4 linked regions of the Drosophila melanogaster genome follow. The protein of the gene in region 1 interacts with the protein of each later gene in a pairwise test. Each region holds a gene or a part of one and is shown in the gene's direction. Other genes may lie near its edges.

The links.
Region 2: the proteins of nub (region 1) and CG14302 interact in a two-hybrid assay, tested with the Drosophila melanogaster proteins (one large-scale study listed by BioGRID).
Region 3: the proteins of nub (region 1) and BomBc3 interact in a two-hybrid assay, tested with the Drosophila melanogaster proteins (one large-scale study listed by BioGRID).
Region 4: the proteins of nub (region 1) and CG31140 interact in a two-hybrid assay, tested with the Drosophila melanogaster proteins (one large-scale study listed by BioGRID).

Annotation. Positions count from the first base shown.
Region 1 is NT_033779.5:12,585,751-12,590,658, forward strand, and holds the start of nub (nubbin), read left to right. Parts: upstream 1-1,874; 5' UTR 1,875-2,302; intron 2,303-4,908. UniProt on the Drosophila melanogaster protein: DNA-binding regulatory protein implicated in early development. Involved in neuronal cell fate decision. Repressed directly or indirectly by the BX-C homeotic proteins.
Region 2 is NT_033777.3:18,731,046-18,733,562, forward strand, and holds CG14302 (uncharacterized protein), read left to right. Parts: upstream 1-1,635; 5' UTR 1,636-1,660; coding exon 1,661-1,667; intron 1,668-1,740; coding exon 1,741-1,949; 3' UTR 1,950-1,989; downstream 1,990-2,517. Other genes in the region: Mekk1, read right to left, coding at 2,233-2,319, 2,384-2,517.
Region 3 is NT_033777.3:22,085,247-22,089,066, forward strand, and holds BomBc3 (bomanin bicipital 3), read left to right. Parts: upstream 1-1,936; 5' UTR 1,937-1,956; coding exon 1,957-2,014; intron 2,015-2,071; coding exon 2,072-2,113; intron 2,114-2,182; coding exon 2,183-2,379; 3' UTR 2,380-3,255; downstream 3,256-3,820. Other genes in the region: BomT3 (bomanin tailed 3), read right to left, coding at 357-619, 987-1,077.
Region 4 is NT_033777.3:23,961,394-23,966,216, forward strand, and holds the start of CG31140 (uncharacterized protein), read left to right. Parts: upstream 1-1,786; 5' UTR 1,787-1,830; exon of another isoform or gene 1,831-1,840; intron 1,841-4,406; exon of another isoform or gene 4,407-4,411; 5' UTR 4,412-4,823.

The DNA of each region.
Region 1 (4,908 bases):
TTATCGTATATTTGTATTTATTATATTTTTAATACTTTCAGGTGACTCAAAAAATTTTACTTCCCTTACGGATAGGGTATCCCGGATGCCTCTGCATTAAATCTATAACTTTGCGGCAACACTGAAGCGGCAACATTTGAATGACCAAAAGCGCGCAATGCGTGGAATTTGCATTCAAATTGGGGCCCGTTCACTTGGGAGGCCGGCGCCTTGAACAAAGTGGAAATACCGCAGAAATGCAAACGACAGGCTAATAAGCTCAAGCGGACAGTTTGGAATGCCTGGCCGGACTGCATATGGTAAACAATTGGCCAAGATCAGCTCCAGTTGGCCGGAATTATGCACCCAGGTCGTCGATCGCGCCGATACCCGATTCCCGATCGCTGTTGACAGCTTTTTTAAATGCCGGCAAATTGAGCAACAGGTAAAATCTCCAGCCCGCGGAGGTGAATCAACTTAATTGCTGGCGGAATTGTGTCAGCAGATCGTGCGTATGCGATTTGTGAAGCAGCGGCGCCCTCCAAAACAATGCCCTTCAATGGAAACTCCGCGGGGCAGGTCCAACCTGAATGCTCTTCGCCATTCAATGGATAACCGTTTAGCTGGGAAATATTTCTTTCGAATTTTTGACGATTAATTTACATTGTTGAGTTTATCCAGATGATGACAAACTAAATACACTCCATATAAACAGAACTATTTTTTATCATGTGTAAAATAATAATTTTGTGTAGTTTTTTTTTTAAGGTATTGTTAGCAAAATGTAAGTAAGCACGTAGTAAAACAAAGAAAATGTATAATTATCTAGTTATATAATTACATATAATTTCTTATCTGGATGAAACCAAGAATGAATGGCAAGATACATATATAAATTTATTTATTTCAATACAAAAGTATTGTACTGAATTAAGCCAAAGGGAAATAAATCGCAATAAATTCAAATTCCCTCGCAATTAAAAGCTTTTACTACAAATTCGCATTCCTCTAATCAATTTGTACTTAGATAATAGCCGAAGCAAACCTAAAAATAACGCTGCCAATAAGAGGCGTTGGCGAAACCAGTTTGCAAAACAAAAATCCAATTGGATAAGTCCGGGCCCCAAAATAAAGATAAAGCCCCCACCTGCGTCAATGTGACAGTTAACGAGGCGATATATGCAGGCGGAATGAGAGTCTATGCGAACGTATCTCCCAATTGGACGGAGAGTCACGGCTCCACCTCCAATTGGATTAAGTAGGCACACACACAAGGGGGCGATAATCATAAATTTAAATAAAGCGAGGGAGCATGCAAGTGAGAGAGGGACAGCGAGCAACCAGATTTGAATATTGCAAGAGTGTGTGTGAAAATTAGCGAGCGCGATTAGTTGTCTCTTTTTCCCCAACGGGTCAGCTTTTTGTGGAACCTAAGTGAGCGATCGCTGCTTTTTGCAGTAGTAGTGGTGAGTGGAGAGCGCGCAGAGAGAGCAAGAGCGAGAGTTTTTCAGAGACAAGAGAATTTTAGCTCTCAAACTAAACTTAATTGTTTTTTTTTACACTAAAATGAATTAATGTTTAAACATAACTCATTGCGGTTTTGAGAGAGCTTAAGCGCTCTCTTTTATCCCTCTCCTGCAATTGCAATGTTGCAAGCAGGTGTGCATCTGTGTGTGCAAGTACCTGCAGCAGATACGAGCAACTAAAGTCACGCACACTTACAGCAAAACCCGAACACAGAGACACTTCACATTGCAATTGTTTCAGTGCACTGCCGTTTGTTTATTTGCCTTTTGTTTATATGGATTTGGCAAAAAAAAACTTGTTGCAGCCCGCTGCCGTTAAAGTTGCCGATCTGTTGCGCATCTTTAAGATACTTTTGGCGAGCTCGCCTCAGTTGAGTTCAGCGTTCAGTGGTTGTAGCTCAAGTGCGCGCGCTCCCCGGACTTTGGCAACACATTTTGTCCTCCGCGATATCCCATGCGCTACTCGACCGATACAATACGATCCCGAATGAACCCCTCTAATAAAAATCCCCATTCTCATCGCTCTCGCGTCGCGATTTTTCCGATCTCTTTTTGTGCCGCAGTTTTTTGCGTTTTGACGACGGCATTTGTGCGAATCGAAACGTGCTGCGAATGAGACGCAAATTTCGCTCATAGTAACATCATAATTTATTGAAAAACTATACGCTTATAGTTTTTAAAGAGTGCCCCATATTGTGCAGATAAAGTACAGTGATAACTAATAACTTATTCACTTGAACGAAATGAATTTGATATTTAAAGATTGAAATGTTTGTCTGAAAAACTCAACAATTGAGGTAAATCCCATGAGTATTAAATTAAGCTATGAAAAATATAAAAGAATTCATAGAAATTTTATTGACACATATCTAGAAAGGTTGATTATTTGTGTACAAGTTGTTATACATGAAAATAAAATAACAATATACATGTGCAGAAAATAAATTTAAAGTTGTAGTTACCACAAAAATAAATTTTTTAATGATTGAAAACCAAGACCAAGGGTCTGAAGCTTCTTGAAAAATTTTAGAATTGCTTACAGTCATCTTTTTGGTATATAAATATTTAAATACCTTGGTAACCAACAAATTTAGGAAAGAAATACAATTGTATAAATGTTTTATTTATAAAAGAAAATAATAATGGGTCATTTAATAAATAACTTCACTGATTTTCTAATTACGAAAATGACTTACCTTTTTTGACTAAAAGATTGAACAATTTTACAACAAGTGACATCCGAAATTTTTGTTGATAAGAGTTCCCCAGGCCACCTGGACCCTAATCATGATTCATTCAATTAATCAAAGCCGTGTAGAATTTCACAATCCTAATCTGCAATCTCTAACAAGCTTTAATAAATGAAACATTTTTGAATTTATGTTGCCTAGCGTTTTTAAAGGGTTTTACCCCACCCCGCAGCAGTAAATAGTGTTTGACAATCTATAAAACGGGCTTTTCACCACTTAATTTACTGAAAATTACTGAAAGTAAAGGAAATGTATACCATATAAGAGGGGGGATATTGTATAAACCATTTTTAAGTAAGGCGCCTTGAGTTTCAGACCGGAGGTAAACAGAACCTGCATCAAAGTTTACTCTACAAAAGTTGAAGTGGGATACCTGTAACTCCAGTATCTTTCGCAATGTCGCCGGGGGTGAACGGTGAGGCGAGAAATAATATTGAAATTGAAATAAATAAATACGGCAAACAAAGTGCGAGAAAAATCGATCGATTTACACTTTAAATATCGTACCAACCCACCGTTCGATTTGTTTAATGTGTATATCTATATCAATACACAAGCGTATATTATGTTGCCTTATTGATAAGGCGATCGGCACGATATGTTTTATTAGCATAACACTTGTGGTGTGCCGCAGTTTTGAGTTCAAGTGCCTCTGGACAAGTTGGAACTGCATTTCCTTTTGGTTGGACACTCGTTCTTTATTTTTTTCTTATTCAAATGCCGTTATCTGGGTGGCGTATATAGATACAGCCGTACAGATACCATTACCATTTGCTGTAACGATCGAGTGATTGATTATTTTTACAGTACAATAATAAATATTTGTCCAGCGTTTGTCGCGTTGCCTGCTTAGCCTAATTAGATAAAAATGGAATGGAAAAACTTAACCTGCTTCTTTCTTCTCCTTCTCGTTCTTGGCGTAGCATTATCTCGACTGCGTTTTCCCATTTACCATATTCGGTGCTCCTCCAGCCGAACTGAACTGATTAAGCCCGACCGGGCCAAGAAGACCAAGACGAGTTGGTTCTTATTGGAGTATCTATATCTATGCGTAGACCCGTGTCGACAATTGCGTCGAAGCTGTTGTTTAAAAAGAGAAATGAGTTCAATTTGTTTGCTCTGGCCTGATAAGACAACTCCGTTCGCAGGTTGGTTGGGTGGTGAGGTGAGGAGAGTTGAGATAGAGTCAAGAGCCAAGAACCAGTGCCATGCCACACACTTCATACCCCAGCACTTTGCATATCAACAATGAAATTGTTCATGTTCAACAATGAAATTTCGGCCAAGCCCCAAAAAAACTAATCAATTGAATGGGTATCGATTTGATAGCAGGATCCTCAAAGGTGACAGGTGCTCTGAAAATGTCTTTTTTTTTACTCTTTAAAGTTACTTACTTTTAAAGGTGATTAGGATTTGAGTTTTTCATTACGTTAGGAGCATATTACTCCCATTCCGAAAATAGATTTATAGTCACCCGCTTTAAATAATTTGTAAAATGAGGTCATATATCAGTGAATTAGATTCTTATCAAGCTAATCATTTCCGTATATCATTTAAATATGAATCACTTGAGACTTGGCGACCAAAAGAATCAGCGGATGGTTGATAAGAATTATTGATTTCTTTGCGGTTGATAAGCCAAATTCGTTAAAAGGGTCCTTTCCCCCACTACTATCTTCTTCGTGCGGAAATTCGATTGGCGCGATACAATAAAATATAATTTGCAAAATTAACAAATAAGTTGAAGGCTCGTGATTAAAGTTTATTAAATTCAATTCTTGGAACTCGTAATTCTTTCACCGGGGGTAAACAATAGAATCTTGAAATATGGGCTGATGTTTAGTCCGCGCAAAGTTCATTGGGGGGCTTGTTTCGCTTAACACGTTTCACATTTCGCAATCTTGGAAATCGGTTTGCACCGGTTTTTCACTTTTTTGTTTCGATGGTTTGCGTTAGGTAAGGTCCGGTGCGATACAACTTGCCTCAAGTGGCGTTAAGTTAAGGGCTGCGTACCTGATATTTGGCACATTAGCAAGTGTCTTCTTAAGTATATGTTTATTAACTCTAAAAAAGTCATGACATTTATTCCATTATTATTATCATTATAAATACGAAATTTATTGCACATATGTAGAAACTAAAACAGCTAACTT
Region 2 (2,517 bases), on another chromosome or scaffold:
CACGGGCGTTTCATTTGTGACCAAGCACCACCAAGCGAGCCACCCAACGAGGGGTGGGCATCTGAGGAATAAGATGGATAACGATAACGAAATCGGAATCGAAAACTGATGTCAATCACTATCAAGTTGAGACAAAAAAAAAAACACAAAAAAAAAGAAATAAGAAAACTATACGCAACCCATTCGCTTTACATATCCGTTACCAAAGTATCCTCGTAGTTTGAATTAGAGCAACTCTAGTCAATTAAATGTTTTAGAGCCGTTTTATGCGCAAATTGTTAGTGCTGTTATCTAAGTGTGTTAATTGTGCTATATTAAATATGAGTGTTATACCAATCACTAACTAACTTAGCAGAGCTTACGAACTTGTTTATACCCCTACTGTCAGCGAATTATGGCAAGCAAGCCCACAAGTATGCAATACTTTTCGTTACGAAAGTTGTGTTTCAAATACAATACGTTCTATAGTTGTTACAAAAGATACTAGCTAAAGCATATACTAAAAGTACTATCTGCGCTTGTTACTGCAATTTCGTTGTTTGTTTGAGGACTTATTACAAAAAAAGAATTATATAATGTCTGTTAATATATTTCCATATATATTCGTGTTTTAGAGAGCAAATGGTATACCGTAACTAAAGGCTTTTTGGATGAATATATATATATATATATATATATAATAATATATGTATGTACAACCCGTAAATGAATAATGAAATGAATGTAGAGGAATATATAGAATACGCGTATAGACTTGAGACGTAACAATACATATCAATAAATTTATATACATCCCAGGAAGGCAAATGATGCCCCACGGCGCAGGACGATTTAGAATGATATAGATACATATATAACCTATGTGTGTTTGTTTGTCTGTTCGAGCCGTTAGCAAAAAAAAAAGATGTTTCGATGGCGATCCACCAAAGCTGTCAATAATCTGCAAAGAATATATTATATACATAAATACTATACGTATGTTATTTACAATGGAAAATATATGAGAAACGTTAAAGGACAACCAGATACTTATATCAAACTAGTTGCTGTGTTCATTGTTGCTATATATGTACTATATGTATGATTATCTTCTAAACTGTTAACCGAACTATCACTACGTACTATCCAACTAACTATCTATCTTACCTGTATTATTCGATCTGTGTATCAATCATTACGTTACCATACTGTTCTGTACTGTCGTTAAGTTTGACTCGTTTCCATATGGCCAAGAGCCGCAATTAATGTATGCATAAATAATCACGAACCGAATAAATTGAAATAAATGCATTACAAACCAAGACCACCATCATTCCTGACCTACAATTGATCTGCTGGTGAATGAAAATACTCCATACGTATATGGATTTGGATAAGGCGCACGGTCAAATTGGCCACGTATTTTTCAGTGACTTCTAAGAATAGATAAGTCGTCTTCCGCTTGAAACAGTCATGAAAATCCGAGCTGCGCACTTCTTAATATCCAAGTGGTAAATACGATAACAAATAAATAAATAAATAATGATAAGCCAATGCCAGATAAATAGTGTTTTAATAAATTAATTAAATAAAATACCAATGGATACCCATGGCCAAGTGGTTCTCCATAAAAGGCCCTGGCCGTTCTGGGCACTTCAACAGTCTCTAAAACGCCGTCAACATGAAATGTAAGTACCGTACAAGGAGTAACCGCCAACGCAATCCGTGGACCATTCGAGTAACCGGCTCAATTCGTTGCAGTCTTCAACCTGCTGTTTAGCCTCTGTCTGGCCTTCATGCTGTGCACCTCGTGGGTGTCGGCTTTCTCCAGTCTTGCCACCCCGGAGCCAACTCCGCCAACTGGTGCTCCCGTCGATGGTACGACTAGCACGGGATTCTCTGGTCCGCCGCAGGCTGAGACCACAAATGCCACGCCAGAAACGTCGACCATCTATCCCATTTACGGATAGTCATCATCGATTGATGAATTAAAAACTGAATCGCAAATATATTAAAATACGTGTAATTTTCACTTGCATCGAATGAATTGTGGGGGTTACGGTACGGAAAGGCATTTGATTATTTTATACGGGTTATATATTGTCCAACATAAAACCAGACGAGGGCATTCAAATAATCGACATTCACATAAATTAGACACTAAACAAAATCCACACCGATGTACATATGCATCATATGTAGGGGTGCGCCTAAAAAAAACCGCAAGCTAGTTAAGTAGACACCACGTTGCACCTAGCTGCTGCTGGTCGCCACATTTCGCCGGAAAGAGCCTCGCACCTGCATCTGCAACTGCTCACTGCTGCACTCGTCTCGACCGTACTGCACATGGAAACGAAAATCAATTAGCAACATTTGGCAGCGAGCTAACCACAGGCATACGCACCTTGCAGAAATTGTGCTCCAACAGTTCCACTGCCGTTAAACGCCTCTTGGGATCGTGCTGCAGACAATGATCGATGAAGTCGTGACCCTCCTGGGATAGGCTCTCCGGTGCCTGCGGCTTCTCGCCCATGCCCA
Region 3 (3,820 bases), on another chromosome or scaffold:
TAATCATCACTCTTGAACAGTTGCTACTCATTTATACGTGTCTGAACTGAATTACAATGAATACCAATTATAAAATGCACAGGAATTAAGGATATTATTTTTAGAAGCTATAGGTGGCATGCCATTTATTAGTAGCGTTAGCTGAGTATTTGATAAGTTTATTCACTAGTTTTACTTTAACAGAGGGACTTGTTTTTAACCTTTAACAAAACCTAACAAAAGCTCATTCTGTAAGTATATAAAAGTAGTCACCGCTGATAAAATATATATTTTTTTTATTTAAGTCTATATAATCTAAGTTTCAGACGATGCTTGCTCTTCGCGCTTAGCGCTAGCAAAGCTTCGAGATTATAATCTCAGCCGCTTATAATCTGCGTAAGACCGCCATCATCGTAGCCACCTCCACCGCCGCCTCCGTAGCCTCCTCCACCTCCTCCTCCGCCGTTACCATAGCCGGGTCCAAAGTTGCCCGAATATACTGGACGACGGCCACCTCCTCCACCTCCGCCGCCGTTGTAGTATCCTCCACCGCCTCCGCCTGCGTTGTATCCACCTCCTCCTCCTCGTCCTCCGTTGCCACCTGTGTAGACTCCAGGTCCTTGGCCTCCGGGTGGATTACCTAATAGTGATATTTAAATCAGTTTCTTGAGGAGTAGTAGTTACTTAATTGCGCGCTAGCTACTGCATTTTTTACGCAAGCCAGCAAATGTACTATGCGCTATAGAAATTAAAAGCTTAAAGCTAAGTGTTCGGAATTATATTATTCATAAACTTAACCAATAACAAATGTTTAGAGTATCGTTAATAATCACTTAATGACTTTCGTTGCCAAGAAATACCATAATATAATAACAAATTGATTGTTCATTCAAACTTTCGCTAATGAAAACACAAAATTTCCTTTTAAACTATGCCTGATGTGGCAGCGACGAAAATCGTTGAACAATTTTTGAATAAATGGCCCAAATTAATAGGCATTGACTTACAGTCGTAGCAACCGCCACCGATGTAAACAGCCGCCTCCGTTAGAGCCAGTGCAAAAAAAGCGATAATCGCAAATGCCGTCAAGGTTCTCATTGTGGCTGGTCTATTAGAACGTCGAACTGGTCTGGACCAGGTACGAACCGCAACAGCAGCTTATATACGATGCACTCATCGATTCCGATTCCGATACTGAATTTGAATTCGAATTCAAACCCAAACAGACCTTATCGCTGCAAAGAACTATTGCTGTGCAAACAAACCACTACGTATGTATTAAGTATTAATCTCAGGGAATTGCCCGCGGATGGGTTTCAAAAACAATCTGTAGCGCATCAGTTGGTCAGTCGTATTGCATTCAAGATACTCTACGTTACCTTTTTAACATAACAAATACACAAAATCTGTAAAATCTATAATAAGTCAGACACTTTTCATTTCTACAAAGTTGCAAAGATTTATTTTTAATGAAATGTATTTGTTTTCAAATATATTTTTTGCTTTTTCATTGTATTAAGTATCTTATTATTTAAATATAAATTGTTAGCTTTAGAACTAAAGCTTCTACATTTCACTCACGAGTCACGACTTTCGGTTCTGTAACCAGTTTTCCTTAGATGTATGGATAAAATTTAATGGTGTGCGATTCTCTGGAATCGCTTGCCATTCATGTTTACGTCTGGGAATAATTGTAAACCGACTTTTCGGGGCGTGACTGTCATAAGTTTCTTTGAAGAAGTTCAAGGAAATCAACTACGTCGACCTGATGCCACAAAACCGTGTGCGGAAAACCCCATCGAATTGCGATTTGATAGTGTTCTAGTGTGAAATTAATTTAAATATATTGTTCAAATACAAATCGAAAGCTCCAAACGCTTAGGCTTATGCAAATCGATTTTGATTCGGATCGAATCAAGTGCCGGACTATATAAGTAGCGTGAGAGTCGATACGGTCATCTATCTATCGGCTTTAATATGAAGTACCTGACGTGTGTGCTGCTCCCGTTGGCTTTAATTCCGACTCTGATCGGCGGTAAGCTGGACGGGATTGCTGCTGACGCTAATTGATACACACTGAAATTATTTCCAGCTCATCCCAGCACAGTGGTGGTGAATGGCGTCTGTCTGACTTGTAAGTTGCGATTGTTTTGCCAGCTAGGCAATTGGACAACTTAATGAATAATAATATGCACTCGAAAAGGTCCCAATCCGAATGGTGAACCCGTCTACCTGGATGGCCAGCAGTACCGCAGCTTCTCCTCATCCCCTGGCGATGGTAATGTGGTCATTTCCCGTGGAAATGACGGTAGTGGCGGTGGAGGTGGCACCATTTACCGGAGGGGTGGTAATACCATCGTCAATGGCAGATGTCAGCACTGCAACGTGGATCCCTATTAAAGGCTTAAACAATAAAGTCTGAATATTGAATTAAAATTGCGCACATATCGATCAATCCATTTCATACTTACACTTGGCTATGTACAACATCATTTAGCTAAAAGCATTGACAATCGTTCAACCCAGTCTCTCTGCAAATTCGATGAATGTGATGGTTTCGAGTGCAGAGGGCATCATCTGATGGAGGCAAAAAATGGAAAAATGAGCGTTTTATATTCAGTTTTTGTTACCACGAAGTACACGTGGAGAAACATGAAACATCCGAGTTATTTTATGCTGCGAAAAAAGCGTGAAGAATGTTATAATTGCTTTTGGTCGAAATATTCAGTCCTGAAAATCAAATTTTTCACATTTAAAATAAGAATTTTTTTTAACGATTTCCAGTACCTCATTGCGTGCACTGCGAGCTGTCTGTTTGTGAACATTGGCTTCTCTCATCCTTCTCAAAAATAAGTGATACAAAAGCGTTACATTTTCAAAAGCCTTGGTTTCAAAACAGTCTGCAAATAAGGGAAGACCCACGGATTTTGTGACGGAAAAATAGAGAAATTCGTGCTGCCAATGGCATCGATTGTTTGAACTTCAGCTAGTTGCCACATAAACTGGGCTGGGAGCTGACGTCGCTGTCTCCAGAGTATTGCACAGCATCGATAATCAAATGCGAGTAACCAACCGTGCAATTTACGCCAGTGGATGTGTTGTCAATGAAAACGCTGGCCTGATGTAAGGGTGCTTAAGGTTGCGCGTGCCACGTGGCGTATACGTAATGCTACTGCAGGAACGGCAAACAGAAGCCTCTCAAATATTTGCTTTGAAACTAACTACTCGACAAACAGTAAACACTTAGTGCATACACACACACACACACACACACACACTTCCCAAGAATATTTTGTGCAGAAGTTTCGAATAAAACTGATGCTGTGTTTTTATATACAGAATAAGAAGGGAAAAGTTTCATTCAGGCTTAGCATGCGAAAACAATTAAAATTGTAAAAGGATTACTTAACAATCATACAATTTTGATTTAAGCGTATAACTTAAGAGAATAGTATTGATTCCCGGACATCCAAGAATAAAAACCTAAGCTTTATTTGCAATTAAAAAAAAATACAATGCATTGAAATCAATGGACTGCCCTTGCGGATGTGCTAAATTCAGAAAAACGCTCGACTGGCTTAAAATTCAATGAACATTTGGGTGGCATAACCATACCAATCGTAAAGGGTTTCGATACACTTTCTCTGATTTACTTTTAATACACTTTATTGGCAGAAATGTGTCGTTTCCTATCTTTTTGGGTCACAAATTGTTTACACGCAACTTTAGAAGCCCCATGAAGCTGAGGAACTCAGTCCTAGTCCAGAACAGGGTGGTTTATCTGCCTAGCAACTTAAGGACCTTGAGCTGGGGAATGTTCGAAATTGAATTTATGTTGACT
Region 4 (4,823 bases), on another chromosome or scaffold:
TAATTTAGTGGGGAAATATATGCAATACTATTCTTACAATAGAAACATGTAAGCTTTAATGTTGATTAAATGAGAACGATATATAATTGAAAATTGTAATAATAACCGAATAAAAAAATCTAGTTTATCTATATCTACAAGTATATATATATATATATATGTTTATGTATGTGTGTTGTACGTTTTAGCCAAATTTTCTGTGTTTTGTAACTGAGAAAAACAAGTTAAAATAAAAACCAAGTATTTTTGAAAAAAAAATCCTAATTGTACTCGTATGCTATATGAAAATGGTAAGACCTGGTGAACCTCAGTTTTCTTTTTAGTGTCTTTGTTAAACGTTTAGTTTTGATTGTTGTCTTTGCTGTTGTTGTGACTGACCAATTTGACTGCTCTAAACTCTTGACGCCCACATTGTTCCACCTCCACTGATCTGATCTCTGAGCTCCACTCCCTCTAAACTGTCTATCTACCTATATGTCTGGCTTAGCGCACCCGTTTGGTGTCCTTTCGTTTTTAGTTGCTACTATATACCACCCTTTTTCATAGTCTTTTTCATAGTTAGCCCCCAGTATCGATACTTTTATTTGGTTTCCTTTTACCCCAAGCGCTGTAAAGTATAGTAACATGTAACTGAAGCTAAGCATTCTCCCTTTCCAGGATGAGACCCCGCAGAGTTTCTTCGACGATCACGGCCTGGGCTAAGTTGGCTCTATGCAAAAGTAACGCCAGAAAGGCATTATCTATATTGAACCCATTTAAAGTCGCCTTAATTGTATGTGTATTTAACGTAACCCAAAAGTATACCGGTTCTATTGTAATTTAACCACCCTGTGTCAGCATAAAAAACATTGTGTATAGAAGTGCTGTTAAACCTATTCCTAATTTCGCTTGGCAAATGCAATTTGCAATACATTTAATTTCACAAAAAAGCATCAATATCGGTTGCTCACACACGTTCATATTTGTAAAGATTAACTTAATGATAAGCAAAGTAAAGCGATGCGATTAATCGACGGTGTGCTCAACTCTATAGTTGTAAGTTAAAAGCCCTATAAATATATAAAAATTGCTGTATCCAAAGTAACCAATCAAAACTCTGTTTACTTTATGCATTCTTTGCTGCAAATAAAGATGGTATCGAGCGTGAGAGTTTTTATATTTCAGTACTACTCTTTTCTGTTGGGACAATAGTACGTCATGGTTATGACGCGGAATAAGCACAAGAAAGTAGGCAATGGTTTTTGAAAAGTTCGTTTTTATGAGATTTTACTAACTTAAATTATAAAATATAAGAAAATGCATTTTCTTACTGATTTTAATATTGAATGTAAAACTCATTTTTTTCAAAAAACCTACATTTCTAACCTTCAATTAAGCCTTAATTTAAAATAATGGTCGTTCTTTGGGCCAATTTCCTCTCTTAGCTTGGCCACATTTATTTTGGGGCCAAGTTGGCAGCTCGCCGACCAACAAATTGTTGATTTCATTTTTATTTGGGGAGGGGGGGTCGCCAGAGAGCATCCTGACTGCGAACGAGAGAGATAGAGAGCGACCTGGCTCTCTCCCTAACGGGAGCTCCCCAACATTTCCCCCTGTTTGTTGTTGGGCACGCACGCACACAGGAATTCGGCGAACTCAACACACTCAGCGTCGAGCGAGAGGGCGCGATTGGCCCCACGGCGTGTGCGAGCGGGACGCAGCGAGAGCGCCAGGCGGAGCAGCGGCGAAGGCAGCGATAAAGGCGCTGCGCCGCGAGAAAGTTGCAGACCCGTCCGCAGAGCGCACCATCGTCTTCAGCGGAGCACACACAGCAGCTAGGTGTGCTCTTCCGTACGTAACGGTTGCGGATTTTCACTGGATTTCCATTTTCACACAGCCAGCACACAGGAAAATTCTCACACACTCGCAGCGAAAAAGTGCATAAAACGCGTGGAAAACTCGGGGGAAATCGCGATGAAAACTTGCGAAAAACTCGCTTTAACTCGATTGCTGTGCGTGTGAAAATTTTCCATCCGGTGAAGGAAAAAAAATTCGAAAGTGCGGCTAGAAAAGAAAAACGAAGGAAAAAGCAGCAGCGCCAGCAGCAGCAGTAGCAGGCAGCATTAGTGGCAGTGTGAAAATCGAATGTGCAAAATTTTGCAGCTTCAAAAATGTATGGTACATAAAATTTCTCTCTCCAAAATCGCGAGTGTGTGTGTGCGCGTGAAAATTACGTTGTCATATGTGCCAAGTACCAAGAGTTTTCCAGGCCCCACTTTCCCATCCGAAGCCAAAGTTTTAACAAATTAACTCCTTCGTGTGATTAGCAATGAAAATGGAAAAAGACAAGGCCACACGCACTCCGTCCAGATACATATATATTCGCATATATATACCAATCAGACATATATATATATACATACATATAGATGTGGTGGCAAGGAATCAAGCCGCGCCAGCAAAAGAAAGAAAGAAAAAAATTCTCTATCTATTGCGATTTGCTCATGCGGCCCGAAAAGAGCGAAGCGCGCAGCATTGGGTGGGAAAAGTGGGTGGCAAGTCCAGAGGGGGAAAGGGGTGGGGGCGTCAGTGGGCTGGGTGGGCGCCACTACGGGTACGAAGTACGGCTGCTTTGTCTACAGTTGTAGAGTGTGTGTGTATACACAGCCTCTGAAATCTATATATCTCGCTTTTTTGGGCCCCCCATTAGCATCCATAATTTTCCGTTTTTTCTGCTTCTGCGCCTCTCCCAGCCCAAAACAAAACAATAATTTCCCTAAGAAAAGCAAAGCCGCAAAGTTTTCATCACCCAACCCCCAAATTGCCGCCCGTTCAACGCATTTGTTGCAAAAATATTGCTCGTTGTGATTTATCCTTAAACTTGGCCACTTTCTTTGAAACGCTCCGTCGTGGTGGAGTTGAGTTCGCGCGAGCGAGTGTGGTGGGTTCCGGAGTGCGCATGTCGCCAGGACATCGCCTGGTGGCCAGGATATATGGACACGGGAAACGGGTCCTGGACATTCCACGTCGTCAGGCTGGCTCCAAACTCACAGTTGCGGTGCAAATAATAGTACCGTCAAGTCCAAGTTCACAACTCATTTCTCAAGTTCGCAGTACTTCTACTTCAAGGGTTAACAACTTTTTTTTATAGAAAGTAACTGCGTATGTGGATTCCAGTTTTATAGATATTCCTTGATTCCATCTATAATCTGCTTTAAGTCATCATAACTACTATAATTTCGTGTAGGTGCTTTTCTGCGCACACAAACGATGCGTTAATATCAATATTCGATAGGATCGAATATCGAACTAAAATTTGAGGGTTTTAAACAATAGGAAACTCATATCTTGTTGTCACAATAGATAGTTATAGAATTATGAGCTTAGGACATAATTCGATGTAAAATCAATGCTAAAAACATGTCATATACACTAAATAAGGACCAAGATCCTTGTGCTTGAGGGCCATTATGCCGACCTTAACTTTGCGTATACACACAATGCGGATTTGTGCGCCTTCCGTTAGCTATCGTTTATTGTCATCAAGTTGAAAACTTCAAGTGTCGTTACCTTTGTTTCCGTCTATTATTAGGACCTGTATGATATAATATTTGACTGGATTGTCCTTGGCCATACCCGCTGGCGGTGGGCGGCCTTTGGCTGGGAGGGGGTGGTGCTGGGAAAGTGGGTGGCGGTGGTAATTGGTTCGTCGCAGAACATGTTGCATACTTGAGGGCGCCGCAGCTATGGAAATTGATAGAATCGCTTTGGGTGGGAGAAATTGAAGCAATGCAGTTTGCTCTAGCTCCCTCTCTCGCTTTCTGTGCCACTCTCTCTTTCTCCTTTTCCCTATGGTTCCCTTTCTCCTTTTCCCTGCGGTACACGCTGTTGATATCATATTTTTGCCACTTCTATTATTATATTGATGTCTACTACTTTTTTATGATGCTCCAAGAATACTGGGAACTTTTTTACCCAACTCACCACGCATGACGCGTGCCTTCTCTCTCGCGCAGCCCCATTTCTCGCTCTCTTTCTAGCTTTCTCTCTCTCTCTCTCGCATTTCCCTGTGGAAACTCCCGCTCTTGTGGATTTTATTATCGGGAAACGTTTTCCTTTCATTTTTTGGCTCTGCTGTTTTTTTCTTTTGGGGTGTGCGGCGCCCACGTATCAGCGCAGAAAAGCGGAAAGTGGAAAAGCAAAGGAACGAGCGAAGTCGAAGAAAAACATTTTCCGAGCTGCTGCTGCTGCTGCGACTGTTCGTTTTCGGTAGTAGTAAAGTGAAGACCGCCCGCCGAGTGAAGTGTGCCTACGTGTGTGTCCGCGACTGTGTGTGCAGTGCTATATACAAAATTCAATTGGAATTTATTTATTTCAAATGGCACACATAAATTCTAACAAGCAATTATCAAATTTATTTTGTTTAGTGCAGCGCCAGAAATTGTAAATAATTAACAGTTAAAAACTCACCACCAAAAGAAAGTTATAAACGAAAACGCTTAACCAAACCAAAGATGCATGAATATGAATCAAAGCAAATATGATACATAGCCAATATGTATATAGAAACTAGTAAGGATAAATAAAGTTCAAAGCGAGGAAAAACACCGATCCCGACAAGCAAATGTCCGGATAAGGGAGCCGCTACCTGACCAATGGATGAAAATGCAGCCGTCGTCGCCGTCACTTTCGCCGTCGTCACTATCGCATCGCTTTTGTCAGCAGCAACAGGAAAAGTCGGAAAAGCACCAGCAGTACCAGCAGCACCAGGAGCAGCAACAGCAGCAGAAGGAGCAGCAGGATCAGAAGGAGCAGTCCTGCCACGCCCACGCCAATCGAACGCC